Linked DNA regions of Rattus norvegicus. Each later gene encodes a partner of the first gene's protein in a complex. Links are inferred from orthologs where the notes say so. Each region holds a gene or a part of one and is shown in the gene's direction. Other genes may lie near its edges.

Evidence for each region.
Region 2: Rbm48 (region 1) and Cwc15 share a complex: the UniProt entries of both Homo sapiens proteins name them as parts of the minor spliceosome. The link is inferred for Rattus norvegicus from reciprocal best matches to the Homo sapiens genes RBM48 and CWC15.
Region 3: Rbm48 (region 1) and Rbmx2 share a complex: the UniProt entries of both Homo sapiens proteins name them as parts of the minor spliceosome. The link is inferred for Rattus norvegicus from reciprocal best matches to the Homo sapiens genes RBM48 and RBMX2.
Region 4: Rbm48 (region 1) and Snw1 share a complex: the UniProt entries of both Homo sapiens proteins name them as parts of the minor spliceosome. The link is inferred for Rattus norvegicus from reciprocal best matches to the Homo sapiens genes RBM48 and SNW1.

Annotation. Positions count from the first base shown.
Region 1 is NC_086022.1:31,516,894-31,520,393, forward strand, and holds part of Rbm48 (RNA-binding protein 48), read left to right. Parts: intron 1-739; coding exon 740-1,320; intron 1,321-3,500. UniProt on the Homo sapiens protein: As a component of the minor spliceosome, involved in the splicing of U12-type introns in pre-mRNAs.
Region 2 is NC_086026.1:19,585,701-19,589,715, forward strand, and holds the start of Cwc15 (spliceosome-associated protein CWC15 homolog), read left to right. Parts: upstream 1-1,215; 5' UTR 1,216-1,337; exon of another isoform or gene 1,338-1,506; intron 1,507-2,547; exon of another isoform or gene 2,548-2,552; 5' UTR 2,553-2,555; coding exon 2,556-2,686; intron 2,687-3,189; coding exon 3,190-3,302; intron 3,303-3,835; coding exon 3,836-3,924; intron 3,925-4,015. UniProt on the Homo sapiens protein: Involved in pre-mRNA splicing as component of the spliceosome. Component of the PRP19-CDC5L complex that forms an integral part of the spliceosome and is required for activating pre-mRNA splicing.
Region 3 is NC_086039.1:132,764,932-132,769,194, forward strand, and holds the start of Rbmx2 (RNA-binding motif protein, X-linked 2), read left to right. Parts: upstream 1-1,463; 5' UTR 1,464-1,470; coding exon 1,471-1,475; intron 1,476-1,664; coding exon 1,665-1,780; intron 1,781-3,801; coding exon 3,802-3,853; intron 3,854-4,263. UniProt on the Homo sapiens protein: Involved in pre-mRNA splicing as component of the activated spliceosome. As a component of the minor spliceosome, involved in the splicing of U12-type introns in pre-mRNAs.
Region 4 is NC_086024.1:112,847,660-112,851,636, reverse strand, and holds the start of Snw1 (SNW domain-containing protein 1), read left to right. Parts: upstream 1-1,177; 5' UTR 1,178-1,235; coding exon 1,236-1,249; exon of another isoform or gene 1,250-3,977. UniProt on the Homo sapiens protein: Involved in pre-mRNA splicing as component of the spliceosome. As a component of the minor spliceosome, involved in the splicing of U12-type introns in pre-mRNAs.

The DNA of each region.
Region 1 (3,500 bases):
ACTCCTGTGTGTCAGGCACTGCTAGGTATGTGTGTCATTGTGGAATTCCTACTCAGTCACGTTCTTCGGTGACTTGAACTGATGGGGTCTGTGCCCCACTGTGGAGTCTGGGCCGGGAAGGGAGCAATGTTGATTCATGGAGATTGCCTCTGGCATGGGAGAGTTAAATAGTCGTAAATGGTATTCAGTAGTAAATAGGGTAAAAGGATGGCAAGGTAAGCCAGGCTACGTTTAAACTTAGGCAGATAAATTGCCACCATACATTTAAAGAGCTGTAAGTCCTACAGAGTAACCAGAGTTCCAAGGTTTTAGTGAGAGAGATTAGGAAAGTAGACAAGAAGCAAATTATGAAGCCTTGTGTCCCAGGCTAAGTGGCCCAGGGTTTAAACATGAAGGCAGCAAGAAGCAATTGTGGTTTACAGACTGGTTCTACATGTTGCTCATTATGGGAAACTAACAATTTTTGATCAGCAGCAAGTTTTATTATTTTTCAAGTGGCTCCAGAGAAAAGTAAGACATTCTAGATAGATGAGTAGGTGACACTTGGCAGTATCCCATGGAATCCTTTCAAAAAGCCTTTAAGCCTTATCACTGTATTCTCTGCTCTAGAGGTACCATTTTAGGAGTAGAGCTTCTTAGCATTTTAAGGTTTGTTTTTAGAATTTTAAGATTTTGGATGTTCAAAATGATTAATGATTTGTTTCCCTTTCCCTCAACTTGTAAAACTATGACTGTAAAGACTATTATGTGACCAAGAAGAAACCAGTTCCAGAGCAAAAAGGAACAAAAGATTCTAGACAAGACTTCCATGCACATATGCCTGGATTTTGTACACCTGCTTTAAACACATCTCCCAAGAATCCTTCAGAGAACTCAAGTCCTTGTCTTCCTTACTCTTGTGAATTCCCTTTATGCTATTTTGCCTCCAAAAGCCCATGTTCACCTGGGGAGCACACGGACAAAGCGTCAGACTCCTGCAATAGTGCTAGGAACCGTGGTGAACTGCAGAAGCACCGTGACCACAGTGCCTTTCCCCCAAAACTACAGATGAACACTTACAAAACTTCCGTCCCTTGCTCTAGTGTGCAAGAGGCCATTGCTACTTCACAGGCAGTTGGCAGATTTATGCCTAGGACAACACAGCTGCAGGAGAGGAAAAGACGGCGAGACTGTGATCGTGAACTTGGAACTTTTCTTGAAACAAACATAAGCAGTAACGAGGTTTTGATTGGACCTAAGTTACCAGGTATTCCCACAGTAGATCTGCAGGATGACTCCTTGAATACAACGGCAAACTTAATTCGGAGTAAACTTAAAGAGGTGAGGTTTTTTGTTTTTTTGTTTTTTTTGTTTTTTTTGTTTTTAATTAATTGTGAGACCAACAACTTGATAGGAAATTTGGAGGAACTAAAACTTTGTAATTATTTGGTTTTGTTATCTTCTAAAATATCAAATTTGATCAATATCTATCTTTTTTTTTTTTAAGTCATTTCATTTTATGTATGTGAGTATACTGTCACTCTCTTCAGACACACAGGCAGGAAGAGGGAGGACATCGGATCCCACTCAGATGGTTGAGAGCCACCATGTGGTTGCTGGGAACTGAACTCAAGCCCTCTGGAAGAGCAGTCAGTGCTCTTGACCACTGAGCCATCTCTCCAGCTCCCTTTACAGTCATCCTTGACTTAACAATGAACAGATACATTTTATGTCAGTATAGGTACAAAATGCTAAATGTCCAGTCAATCAGACTATGACAGCTGATTCCGGATACTGTCTTTCCTCCCTTCCCTATTTAAAGCCAGCTCCCTAGGTAGTAATAGCATAAGCAAAAATTGACAGTTATAATTGATTATTTCTCTTAAAATTCAGCTAACTGCAGATTACATCAGAGTCAAATATTCATAAAAGGAATGATTTTGATCAATCACTTAATTTTGTTGGGAACCGAACTCAGGGACTTGTGTGTTGGGCAAATGCTCCATCACTGCCGCATCCCCAGCCCACAAAGTGAGATTATTAAAAACTGAGTCTGTGCCTGCCCACACTCAGTTGTGTGTGTCAAGATCAAAGCTCTGAATAGTTAGAGATCAGATTGTCTAACCCCCGTTCCCGTTATTTACTTTATTTTCCATTCTGTAAACACAAAAGAAAGTTAACAGTTGCAGGAGCTTGTGAAAGCTTTTTGTGGAGTGGGATGGGCCTCAGAATCATTTCTGGAAGGCCGTAAGCATTTTCTTAGTTAACTCCCTGGTCAGCCCAGCTCACACGGGGGCTCACACGGGGGCTCACACGGGGCTCACGTGGCGCCCTCTTGTTCTGCAGTGTGATTGGAGAAGTGATTGGAGAGGAGGTGCTTCTCTGTCTTGTTTTGGTTTAGAGTTTTGTTTCCACCTAGTTGAAATGGTAAAGTGTATGAATGTGGTTTTATTTTTAAGTCTCCCTAAGTTTTTCGATATATGCCAGCACCTTACTTCCTTCTGGTGCACTACACTGAGGCACACAGACTCGTGGCTGTCTCAGTCAGGACCAACTGCATTTAAGTGTAAACTCTACATCCAGAGAAATAACAGGTCAACAAAAACATACTTCATATACTTAACCACAACTTCTAGTATTTTCCCATCTCAAATCAAGGTGGTCTTATCCTGCCTTTGCCCTACTATTAAGTTATTTTTGGTAATGGAATAACAACAATGTATTCAGAAGCCATTGCAGCTGAGATCTCTGTTAGCCAGCCTGGTCCACCTAGTAAGTTCCAGGTCAGGTCAGGCCAGTCAAAGTTACACCTGTTCAAAAATAAACCAAACAACCTGTAAAACCAGGATTTTATCTGTATCCTGCTGTTTCTGGGCTAAGGTGAAATCCCAATGTTGTTTCAATTTGCATTTGTTTGAGGTGAGATAGCATCCTAATCTGTTCTTTTGCATTTCCCTGTTGCTAATGATGTTGGACATTTTCAAACTTGTGTTGGCCATATGTGTTTCTTCCTTTGAGATCTGTTCAGCTTGTTAGCCTGCTTATTGACCGGATCACTTGTCTTTAGTGTGTAACTTTCAGCAGTTCTTTGTAGATGCTCGACATGAAGGCCTCATTTGTGTCATTGGGCACAGACCCCCCATTGTGCAGGCTCTTTCACTCACGTTCCTGACTGTGCTGCTGTGCAGAAGCTCCTCAGTTCCATGTGATCCCATTCGTCAGTTTGCTCATCATAATCTGTTCCTTTACAATCCATTTCAAAGATCTTTGCCTAGTCTCTTGAAGTGTTCTTCCTGTTTTCCTCTGGTAGTCTGAGAGCTTGTTACAGTCCTCAGTACATTTTGAGTGTGTGTGTTTGTGTGTGTGTGGTGTGTGGTGTGTGTGTGTGTGTGTGTGTGTGTGGTGTGTGTGTGTTTGTGTGTGTGTGTGTGTGTGTGTGTGTGTGTGTGTGTGTTCTCCATGTGTTTTTGATACCCTTGTCAAAAAATGTTGTAGCTGTGGCTATGTGGGATTACTTCTGG
Region 2 (4,015 bases), on another chromosome or scaffold:
AATCCAAGAGGAAAATGCCAGTGGCCTGAATTGAGGGTTAGTAACAGGGAAGGGAAGCTCAGGGTAATTTTCACAATACTGGGCAAGCATGGCAAGTGAACAGGATGTGATGAGGGAAGGTAGAGGGTCTCCAGCTTTGGGTTGGAGCCACTAATATGATAGCAGCGTCCTTTGTGTGAGGCTGAGAGAGGTGCACACCTTCCATAAATTAAAAAAAAAAAAAAAAAAAGAAAGAAACGAAGCTTTTCACCTTCTACTTTCAGGGGAGGCACATTGGGGGGGGGTTCTTTTATAATTCTCTTTCTTCATTTAAAAGTTCCAAAGGAAGGTCAGGGAAGAACTGAAATGTTCAGTTTTAGGAGATCCTTCCACTTGAGATAAACTGGAGAACAGAATTCTCTTTATCGAGCATTGGCCGTCCCCAAAATCTCAATGATGGACACCAAGACAACGTTGGCGAAGCCATCTTACCCATCTCGTGCTCCTCCTGGCAGTTAGGCCCACTGTTCCATAAATTCTCACTATCGTAAACGCTCACGGCATCTCCTCTCACACTACAACGCTTAATGCATATAGCTATGTATATATATATATATATTTATATATCTTAACAAGCAATGCGACTATAACCCCTGCCTTCAAGGCCAGTGGTTTCGCAGGAATGGTACCTTTGGAAAGCTCGTGGCTGCCCCCGTACTTATTTGCGCCTTCTTCATATCCACTTAAGTGACAACTCTAGTCCCTAGGCTGCGGGGTCTACTGAGGAGCAGGAGCCGTTGGGTCGGTCAGTTGGCAAGCTCTCCTCAGATCTCAACGCTTGCGAGACGCGGACCGGCTCCTGGCGCCTTCCGTCCTCGCAGAACCGCAGCGAAAGAGTCTGGGAGGGGGTCGGGAAAGGAAAAGACGCAAGAGAGATTAAGTAATTGGTTCTCAAAGGCACAAGATGATATTTGGGGTCGACTATGAAGCACCGGTTTCAAACGCCCGCCCCCTAAGCAGCCTTGGCTCCGCCCCTAGGCGACGTCACTCCATCTTTTTCCCGTGTCTCTGCGGATTGGTCACTGGGTCAGCCTCTAAAAGACGGTTAAAAAAAAAAAAAAAAAAAAAAAAAAAAAAAAAAAACCAACTCGGGATTTGCTTCCGGGTGTGGAGTTCGCGTCTTCTACACAGCCGTTGGGAGCGCGAAGATTTTGCTTCCGGGTCTTAGTTGAGTCCCAGGTGTAGAGACTGGAAGTTCTGCATTTTGCTTCCGGTTTTGCGCAGAGATTTCTGGGAGTTAAGGGTCGCAATGGTTCGTGAGTGAGCTTCTGAAGGCACTGCGTCGAACCCCCGCCACAGTGAGTAGCAGGGCATAGTGGTTTGTGGTCCCTGTGCGGGCCGCACCGGGGAGTCGGAGAGCCGTGACTATCGTCCGGGCCGCGGTGCTGGAATGGCGGTCGGGAGCTGCAGCCGAGCTCGGGGCGGTCACCGGCGCGGCACCGCTGACACTGAGAAAAGCAAAGGAGGGTAGGATGGGGTAGAAACTCCCACGTCCCACACGGTCTGTCTGAGCATGCTGCTTAAGCTAACGGAGATTTAGTAGCCCTGTAGTTAGGCTGGAATTCTTATTTGACAGCTAAAAATTGCAAAAGGTTCTCTGGTAGCCTAGGCTAGCTTGGAACTCCCGATTCTATTGCTCTCACCCCCCAAGCTCTGGAATCACAGGAGTAGTACCCAGTCATGCCCAGTTCTTGATGTTTGGTTGAGTGGAGTTCCGATTTTCTTAGGATTGCGTTAAGTTACAGCCTACCAAAGCTTTACGAATGTTGCGGTAACTGCTTTAGAGGGAAATTGAATCAACAAGATTCTGGGGTAATGTTGCCAGTGTAAATGTCATTGGGTTTTAAACAAACTCTAAGACACTCAATAAGTTTGCCTGTAACTTTAAAAGAAATTTGTTTTTTATTGGTCCATTTGCTGTAGTGTGAGGTTTCTGATAAAAATGCAAATCTTGGCCGGACAATTCCAGCAGTGCAGAGGCAGTCTGGTAGATCTCTGGAGAGTCCTAGGCCAGCTTGATCTGCATTGTGAATTCTAATTCAGCCAGAAATACATTGTGAGATCCTATCATAAAAAATAAATAAAACAAAATCTCAGAGAACCTAGTGCTAGTGGGATATAAAAAAAAAATTTAAGTCATTTATTTTAAAAGCCACACTACACTGTTGTCCAAGATCTGACATCACGTGTCAGAAATCTCATAATAATTCTATAGAAGTATCAACATTCCACAAGTGATAGAATCAAGCTAGGAGACTTGCGCAGGGCTACCCAGCTAAAACAGAAGCACAGACTCAGACCTTCAGAGTAGTTATTTATATCAAATAAGAGCTGCCTGGCAGTGCATATCTAGTAAACACCCTGAATTTCATGATTCTGCTCTTTAGAGACTTGTACTGAAGCAAACTACTTAAGCAGTTCTGGGGAGAGTTTTGAGAATGATTTAAGGACAGGTAATTATGAATGATCTATAAAATGAAAGTATAATTAAACCCATGTTTGTCAAAGAATAGAAGATGACAACAGCAGCCAGGCCAACTTTTGAACCTGCAAGAGGTGGGAGAGGAAAAGGAGAAGGTGATTTGAGCCAGCTCTCCAAGCAGTATTCAAGCAGAGACCTTCCCTCTCATACAAAGATAAAGTACAGGTAAGAAGCCTTTCATTTGTCCTGTTCACAGAATGGAACCAACCATGACTTATGATCATGTCTAAATTAATAGTATTTAAGTTACCGATCTTCCAAGAAAAGGCTTTCAAAAAGTTTACAATACAATTATTTGCTGTAGTTGTAAAGTGCTCTACGGTCTTTCAGCATAAGTTCCTATTGAGCAGGGATTGCTGGTGTGGATGAAGCCCTCACTAGTCATGATAACCAGCTCAGTCTTCTGAGTGAGTATGGGAGTTGCTGTAACAGCCCTGAGTGGAGGACTGTTTTCAAGAGACGTCCTGCTGTAGGAAGTTGTGTGATACGGAACCCCACGAGTGTATTAATAGCACTCTGATTGGGATATTGTCCTCTTCCGTTTTGTTCTTGATTGACACTTACATTCTGAATTGTCTCAAGTTGCTATAGCCATATAGGTTCTTTTCCTTGACAACTGGGGGCAACATTTTTGACCTGTTTTGGCTTGTTTTGTTTTTCTACTTAAGACAAACCACACAGGATGCCCCTGAAGAGGTTCGCAACCGTGACTTCAGGAGAGAGTTGGAAGAGAGGGAGAGAGCTGCTGCAAGGGAGAAAAATAGGGACCGTCCAACCCGAGGTATCTGCTGTCCCTCGTGTGTCACATAGTTATGTGATGCAAACTGTTTCCTGGTGATTGGAAACAATTAACATTGTTGTGAGCTATACCTCTTTGATAAGAGACAATAATGAGGTTTATTCCAGTCCCATCTTGTCATGCATTGGTACTGAAGACATGGTGACCTGAAGTGTTTAAAACCATTTTTCAGTTCCTGTCAGTAGACTTTGACTTTACAGCAGCTGGAACCCGCCCGAGGCCTTCTGTCTGGGACTCCCCATGTAATTGATGAGTTTTGAGAGAAGCATCAGTTACCCTTTTTATGTTTCTACCACATGTGAGCATTGGCTAGTCTCCTGAGACGCTGTGATCTGCGTGCTCACTAATTCACCCCATGTTAACCAACAAGTATTTATCAGAGACTTACTTGCCCGTCACAGGGTGGGTCCCTGCTGTCACTGTGCTTTGTGTGGATTCTTTTTGCCCAAAGGTTTCTAAAATGTTACTTAAAATCCAGTATGTACTTCAATATGCTAAATGTTTGTTTTCTTCAGAACACACAACTTCCTCTTCGGTGTCCAAGAAGCCCCGCTTAGACCAGATTCCTGCTGCCAACCTTGATGCTGACGATCCTCTCACAGATGTACGTGTTTTAGGTTTGGGTTTGGGTTAGCTTGTGTTTATTTGTTTGCTTGTTTCAAGCCGCCTCAGTGCTGGAACTGTGGGCCTCTGCC
Region 3 (4,263 bases), on another chromosome or scaffold:
TGTTCAGCCAGCCACAGCAGCAGGCAGTCAATCAGATGATGCCTTGCCACCCTGGAAAGTCCACAGAGCCCTAACCAATCACAAAAGCACCCACACCAGCCAACCAATCAAGGGAAAGAAAAGTAAATGTCACCCACCCTACCCTGACAGACTTTAAATTGACCCTACAGAGCACACACCTAGGCTTTCATTTCCAAATGGGGAGACTCTTGCATGCAGGAAATTCTGCTGAATAAACACTCTTTGCTTTTGTATACTATTTGAGTCTGGGGGGTATCATTCTTCTGCTACTCTTGGACCCTAACACTCACAAAAAGGAACTCCTATTTTCTGTTTACATACTGATTTCTGGATAATTGTGATATGAATAATTATTAATTATATGATAATTATGATATGAAGTATTCAAGTACATATAGATTTCCCCTTATACCATTAGTTCTATGCATGCAGAAAACCAGTCCTCCAGATTCCTTCTATAGACCAACTGTACAGAACAAATTTAGATGCTCAATAAGGGATGATTAAATTAGCCTGACCTGATTGGTACAAGCTCAAGACATTTCAAGTTAAGCAAATTTTAAAAGATTTATTAGTTTTACTCATGTGTATGTATATCTGTGCATGCCATGGGAGTGCAAATGCCCACAGAAACCAGAGGAGGAGGATGGATCTTCTGAAGTTGGAGTTGTGAGCCACTTGTTTTGGGTGCTGGGATCTGAATACAGGTTCTCTGGAAAAATCACCAAATGGTCTTAACCACTGAACCACCTCCCTAGACATTCAAGCTAATTTGTTGAAGCTCAGTTTTTTTTTCCTCTGTAAAGTAGGGGTGGTAACTGTATTTCATGGGGTTGTTGGGAGGCCAGCTTGGTCTACAGAGCGATGTCCAAGACAGCTAGGGCTACACAAAGAAACCCTGTATGTAAAGAAACAGAGATTGAATGAAAAATGAAAATGGCAGAAACTGAGCCCCTTGGAGGCAGAGGTTTAGGGTAGGGGCAGCCACTGGTGTGAGACTTAGCCTGGGTTTGAGACCTAACAGAGACAACATGCATAAATTTTCTATCATTTGGAACCTTTACATTCTCTAACTCTTCAATTGTTAGGTACTAATTTGACAATGCTAATTTTTGCCTGCCTCTGGAAAAAGGCCACATCCGTTATTTAAATCTGTGGGCATTTAATTCAGACTGCAGAAGCACACGGATCCACTGTAACGCCCAGGTTCCCACCTTCGAGCTACACCAAAAAGGGAAGCAGGGAATAACTAGGGAACTATTTCGCCCCTGGAGCAAAAGCGTGAGAAAGCGCGTTTGCGTTACTGCGCATGTGCCGAGGCTTAGCGCGCCGGAAGTCCCGCCTCCATTTCCGTTGGCTCCAATCTGAGCTGAGTGTTCGGGTTGCGCGCGCGCTTCGGAGCCTCACCCGGAAGCTGATGTCTTAAGAGCGGAGCGCGAAGATGCGAATATGAAGTAAGGATTTAGTTTCTCTGAGGACAGGGGAGGGAGTTTCTCTGAGGAAGGGAGAATGGATTGAGGAGGGCCGCCCATAAGGGCGGGGACAGGTCCTCGCCTTCAGGGCCTCGGGGCGGGAGACGACCGGTACGTAGAAGGCGGGCTGTGAGGAAATGTACTTAAACGTCTTTCCCTTCTCCCGCACAGCCCTTTAACTAAGGTGAAGCTGATCAACGAACTGAATGAGCGAGAGGTTCAACTTGGGGTGGCAGAAAAGGTGTCTTGGCACTCGGAATACAAAGACAGCGCCTGGATCTTTCTTGGTGAGGTCTACATTTTTCTCTAGCAGTGCCTTTCAGAGTCTGTACCTCCCCTCCCCTCCTCCCCCTTCCTCCTGGTTGTTTAGCGCCCCTGGTCGTCACCTCTGAACACGCTGCTCGTCACCTCACACTCTTGCAGCTAGTCTGCTCACAGGTTCCTTTTTCACTTGGCCCCTATGATACTGCTTAGAAATTGGTATTTGCCATTCATTATATGAAAAATCTTGCCACTTGGTTGCTTAGAGACAGTTAACTCCCCAGGCAACCCATAGTGATGTCAAGGAAACTGAGGCGCACAGGGGTTACTGGGCTTGCTTAAGGTGCTGCATCACTCAAAACTATAGGGCTGTGTTCTTAGTCCTTATTGCATGTCTATTATCTGCCGTTTCTCAGAATTATTTTCCTCTTGTAAGTGGCTGCTTCTCCCAGTTCTTTGTTGTATTGTTAGGTACCAGAACAGACATTAACTGGCTTGGACGACATTGAGGGTTTCTCCTGCTTAACATTTGAAAGGCTATCTGAAAATGTGGAGGGATGTGAGCTTTGTTGTTCATTAAGGGAAAACTACTGATGAAAAGAATACAGTCTGGATTACACCCCTGGCCCTGGGTAGATACCGGGACATTTTCAGGAATCCTAAATGTTACATGCTTGTGTTCCCCTTCCTTAAGACAATCCAACAGGCTTTAAATTTTCTGGCCAGGAGTCACCTGTCAGGAAAGCTCAGTCATCTAAAGACACGCTAAGGACATGGGAGGGAAATGATCCCCAGTGCAGTTGTTACTGGTCTCTGTGTTAAGTCTACCTGTTATTCTGAGTTCTCACTTATCCCCTGCCCTCCCTTTCTGTCCATTCTCTGGATGCTGGCTGGAATCCTGAACATGCTTGCCCGGAACACTTTGGACTGTCTCATTCCAAATCTAAAGGCTCTCCTATCCCCTTGAACCACTCCTCTACCTCCATCTCTGTGCATTGCTGCTTGCTTGACCGCTAATTCAGAAGGCATGGCTGCTTCTTCTGCAGCTCCTTCATCCCAGTAGCTGCTGAAGCTTACAACTTGCTTCCCTATCAGCTCTCTCTCAAATGCTAATAAAATGGACCTCAAGCTTCCTCCTTAGTCTGCTTTAGAATTATATTATCAAGATAAGACATTACTAGCCTTTGTAAAAGGGGAACTCTTAACTCTCTGGTGACAATATTATTATCCTGTATTCACTTTATGTCCCAACCAAAATCCTGCAGTTTACCTTTGGAAAGAGGCTGTTGTAATAGGTATTGTGTTAAGCACTTTATATTCCTCATTTTACTTTATTTCTCTAACACTCCTGTGAGGCAAATATGATACCATCCCATTTTTACACTTGAGGGAAAACATGGAGGGAGGGGAAATTGTTTCCTATGAAATGCTTAATATTATCCCTTATAAATCTTAGCTTGCACATAAGTGAGGGTAATAATAGTATACTTAAACTTGCTGTTTATGAGATTGAGTCTTGTGCAGGAAATCACCTGCTTTATAGGATTTTTGGATGTGAGGATTCAAAGATAAAATTAATTTGGTGAGTGATGACCCCAGCCTTTCCACTCAGAGTTACTATTTTTTTCTCTTTCTCTTCTCTTCTTTTCTTTCCCTCCTTTCCCTTCCTTTTCTCCTTTTTTTCTCTCTCTCCCTCCCTTCCTTCTTCCCTCCCTCCTTCCCTCCTTCCCTCCTTTTCTCTCTCTCTCTCTTCCCCCCTCCCTCCCTCTGTACCTCCCTCTCCCTCTTTCTTCCTTTCTTTCTCTCTTTCTTTGAGGCAGAGTTTTACTATGAAACCACTGTGTAGACCAGGCTTGCCTGGAACTCACAGAGATCTGAGAGTTAATTACTTTCCTTCCGGACTACTGTCACTATACCCACTCATTCTATCATTGGATTAGACTGATATATTTGAGATTGTGGCTTGTTTAATCTGTACCTCCAGTGCCTAGCATGCAGTAAACACTTGCTTAATGTTTGTTGAACCCAAGTGTTTGTTTTCTTCTAGGAGGGCTTCCTTATGAACTGACAGAAGGAGACATCATCTGTGTGTTCTCACAGTAAGTCCTCTGTTGTTACCTATCTCCTGGGTGCATAGAACAGTTTGCTTCCATAGAGTATTTTTGTAACAGCAACAAAGCATTTCAAGCTGGGTGTGGAGTTGTACACCTCTATAAGAGGCTGAGGTAGGAAGATCACTTGGAGTGAGACCCTGCCTCAAAAAGCCATGAAAACCATTTAATTCTAGGCTGAATGACATCCATGCATGGGGAAGGCTAGAGTCTAGCTCAGTCCCAGGTTAGATAAGGTTCCAGAGAATTACCACATGGGAGATCCCAAAGCTTGGATCATTTGAGAGTCTGTCTGAGGGACTTTAGTCCGTTTCTGTCATTTTTACTGAGCTTCGTTCTGCATGGGCTTACATTGGAACAGACAGGCATTCAGGAAGATGCAGTATTGCCCCTTCTCT
Region 4 (3,977 bases), on another chromosome or scaffold:
AGGCGGGGCTTTGAGGAAATCCATATATACTCAAGTTCTGTCCATGGCTAGACAGTATAGTTTCTCCTTGATGTCTTCCATTTTGGGTGCAGATCTCTCACCTTTCCCCCCAGCACCATGTCTGCCTAGATGCTCCCATGATGATAATGAGCTGTACTCCTCAATGTGTAAGTCATCGGCCACTTAATATTTTCCTTTATCATTGTCATGGTGTCTCTTCACAGAAATGCATAACCTAATTAAGACAGTTGGTTTCTGGTCTTTTGATACAGGGTTTTTTGTGTAGCCTTGCTGTCCTAGAACTTCCCCCGTAGAGCAGTCTGGCCTTGAACTCACAGGATCTGCCTCTGGGATTAATGGAATGTGCCACAGCTGCCAGATTAAGAATTATCTTTATTGGTGGTTGGGGAGTTAGCTCAGTGGGAGAGCCTTTGCCTAGCAAGCCCAAGGCCCTTGGTCCCCAGCTCTGAAGAAAAGGAAAGAAAAGAAAAAAGAATTATCTTTATTTAGCCGAACACAGTGGCAAACACCTTTAATCCTAACACTTGTGTGGTAGAGGCAAGCCAGTATCTGATCTAGGCCCAGCCTAGTTTATCGAAACACTTCCAGGACAGCTAGGGCTTCCCAGGAAAACCGTATCTCAGGAAGAAAGAATTGTCTTTCTCACCTGTCTCAGTTGTACTTTGGCTCCAAGTCATCTGCTGAGTTCCATTTAAACTCCTTTATCTTAATGTCTAGGATCTTCTCTCTTTTCACCACCCCCACACTGCTTTATAAATAATCAATTCGTTAAGCAAAATTTAAATAAATGACTGTTAACAGAACTATTAACTATAAGCACGGAGGCTGGTTTATAGTTGCAATCAGCCAGACTTTGTATCCTATTCAATACTCTTAACATGGAACATACTGATAGTGGAATTGGATAATAGTATTAGTTTCCCAAATTAAGACTGTATAGCATATCTTTTATTGTCACTACTGATGTGTTAAACTCAGAGACCCTCTTGCCTGTAAAGTTTACCGATGTTCGGTATTTCCAATGTTAAGGTAATTGTCTTGGCTAACCCATTTTCAACAGACAGGCTGCCACAATTCCCACTAAAAGAACTACAAGACCCAGAGTGCCATTCGGTCAGAGCGCCTGCGCAGTGAGCATTTTTCATTCGGTTCCTCGTTCCCGGGCAAGAATAGCCCCGCGACGCTGTGGCCTGCGCAGGAAGAAGCGGAAGAAGATGGCGCTCACCAGGTGGGTTGTTGATTTGGGTCCTCGATACGGAAGGGTCTGGAGTACACATCTTTTCCCTTTTTCTCTCCGGACTGTTCAGGCTATAACCTGATCTGGGGCACAGAAGTAGCCTAGCCAAGGCCGTAGCTAGAACCTCTCGCGGGCTTCCTTGCTGAGTAGGCCGCACCGAAGCCGGGGTCTTTCCTTAGGGGCTTCCCGGGTTGAGTTCGCCCCCTCCCCGCACCTAGAACCGCGACGTGGCCTCGCTGCGGAGCTCACGTGTGCTTCGCGTAAGCGGCGCGGCAGATTAAGCGCCCTGTGGACTCCGGGCTGAGGTGTTTGCGATACGAAGCAACGGCTTATTTATTCCTGATGAGCAAAGCTCGCCAATTTATTGGAGGCTTTCCAGCCGCTTGTATGCCTTGGGCTTCTTATTTTCTCCAGTACACTTTTCTGAAACAAAGATTTTTGCCAAAGGCAGAGTTGGAAACGACCAAAAACCGACCAATTTTTTTTTAATTGACAGCAGTAGGGGCTGCTGTTTACTGAAATGCGCGCTCCTCCGCGCTGTAACTTTGGACCTTAGAATTTTTGTACATAGAACCACCTCCGACTTTTGCTGTTCCTGGTTGCCCTGGTTACCGTGTGTAAAGTATTCCCAGCTAAGATGCTAAGTGGGAGACCTCCGAAACGTTATGTAACTCATAACTGCTCCAAGTGGAAAAACTTTCCCTGTGAACTCAGCTAAAAAAGTCTGATTTTAAAGAAGGTTTAAAAAAAAAAAAAAAAAAGAAGTCTTCATTTTAGGACATTGACTTAACGCCTATCAAACCCACTTCTAATATTTTTCCTGGCTCATAACAGTATGAATCCTAAAAGTATTTTGATTATGGGAATTAAGGTTCATTGTCCTGCTTTGCCCTATAGGTTGTATATATAGAATAAAATATATTTTTTTGATACCGGGAAGATGGACAAGTAGATACACAGGTGAAAATAGTTCAGGCAGGAGAAATCACTGAGGTTTAAGGCCAACCAGGTCCGTTAAGATAGTTTAAGGCCAGGATTTAACAAAAAAAAGCCACTGTCCTTGTTAGCTTTTAACTGCTTTACACCAGGTAAAACAATATCAGGCAAAAGAATTGCCTAGATCAAATCGGCCTATGGACATGTCTGTAGAGGATTGTTTTTCTTGCTAAGAGATGCAGGAAGCTCCAAGCCACTACGGGCGGCACCTTTCCCTAACCAGGTGGTCCTGAACGGTCTAAGAAAGCTAGATGAGCATAAGCCACTCTGCCAACAAGCAAGCATCTTATTTGGTGCCTTGCCTGCCTGCTTGCCTCCCTCCTTCCTTCTCTCCAGGAAAGCAAGTCACTCTTGCTTTTGATTGTGTGTGAGATTTCACTCACGGCCTTGATATCCCTCAGTGGGTTGTAACCTGGAATTGTAAGCCAAATGTACTAGCTGGTTTTGTGTGTCAACTAGACACAAGCTGGATTTATCCCCCAGATAGGAGCCTCCCTTGAGGAAATGCCTCCGTGAGATCCACATACCTGGTGGCCTGTGTTCTATTGATTGATTGTTTTGTTTCATTTTACTTTGCTTTTTAGGATCATGAACTGTCCCAGCAAATGAATCTAACCCAAAGAGGGGAGGAAGGTGTTGGGTACCAGTGTCTGTGCCTGTAGAGATCATCCATACCTTATGCTGTCACTAATAGGCTAAGCTCAGGAACCTCTCTTCTATAAAGGGTTTTTGTTTGGGGGGTTTTTGTTGTTGTTGTTGTTGTTGTTGTTGTTGGGTTTGATTTTGGTTTTTTGAGACAGTGTTTGTTTGTGTAGTCTTGACTGACCTGGAACTTGCTCTGTAGACCAGGTTGGCCTGGTCATACAGATCCACCTGCCTCTGTCTCCCAAGTTGAATTAAGGTCTCCACCATGCTCCAGCTTCTGTTGCCTTTATTAAAAGGAACTGGTCACCCAAAAATCCATCTCATCACACCTCTGTACTGATGAAACTGTACTCTGAAACTGATGAGAATATTTAATATTTAAAACAGTAGGACCCCAATATGTAGTCTGTGGAACCAAAGTCCTGGTGGCCAAGTCTCCAATTGTCATTGGAAGTAGAGGCACTCCAGTGGTATTGAGTCCTCAGTCTCTGGGGACTGAACTGAATTAGGAAGTGCCTAGCTGCAGTCTGCTGGAGTATCACTTGTTTGCTTGGTGTGTGGGAAACGTTTGAGGTCAGCCTGGGCTACACAGTGAGACCCTTAATAAGTAAGTTTAAGAACATTCCTGGTAAATCTTTAATATTTTTTGGCAAAGGTTTTGAGATGGCTTGTTTAAGTAAAGGCAGGAAGACTGCTGTGTTGCAAAACCATGACTGCAAAGGGCAGAGTGAAACTCTTGGAAATATTGGAGCAACTCCTGTTACCAGACAGGGTGCTGGGACAGTTAGGGACAAAAGAAGCACAAGATGCAGTTCCTACTCTCAGGTTGCTCAGTCTGGTAAATGATTAGTTAATCATAATGCAGAAAGATAGAGGGACTAGAGAGCTTTTTTTTTCTTTTTTTTCTTCCGGAGCTGGGGACCGAACCCAGGGCCTTGAGATTGCTAGGCAAGTGCTCTACCACTGAGCTAAATCCCCAACCCCGCTAGAGAGCTTTAATCCCAGAACTGGGGAAGCACCTGGATCTATACAATGAGGCCCTGTCTCCAGAGGGAAAAAAATGGAAGGAAAGACAGAC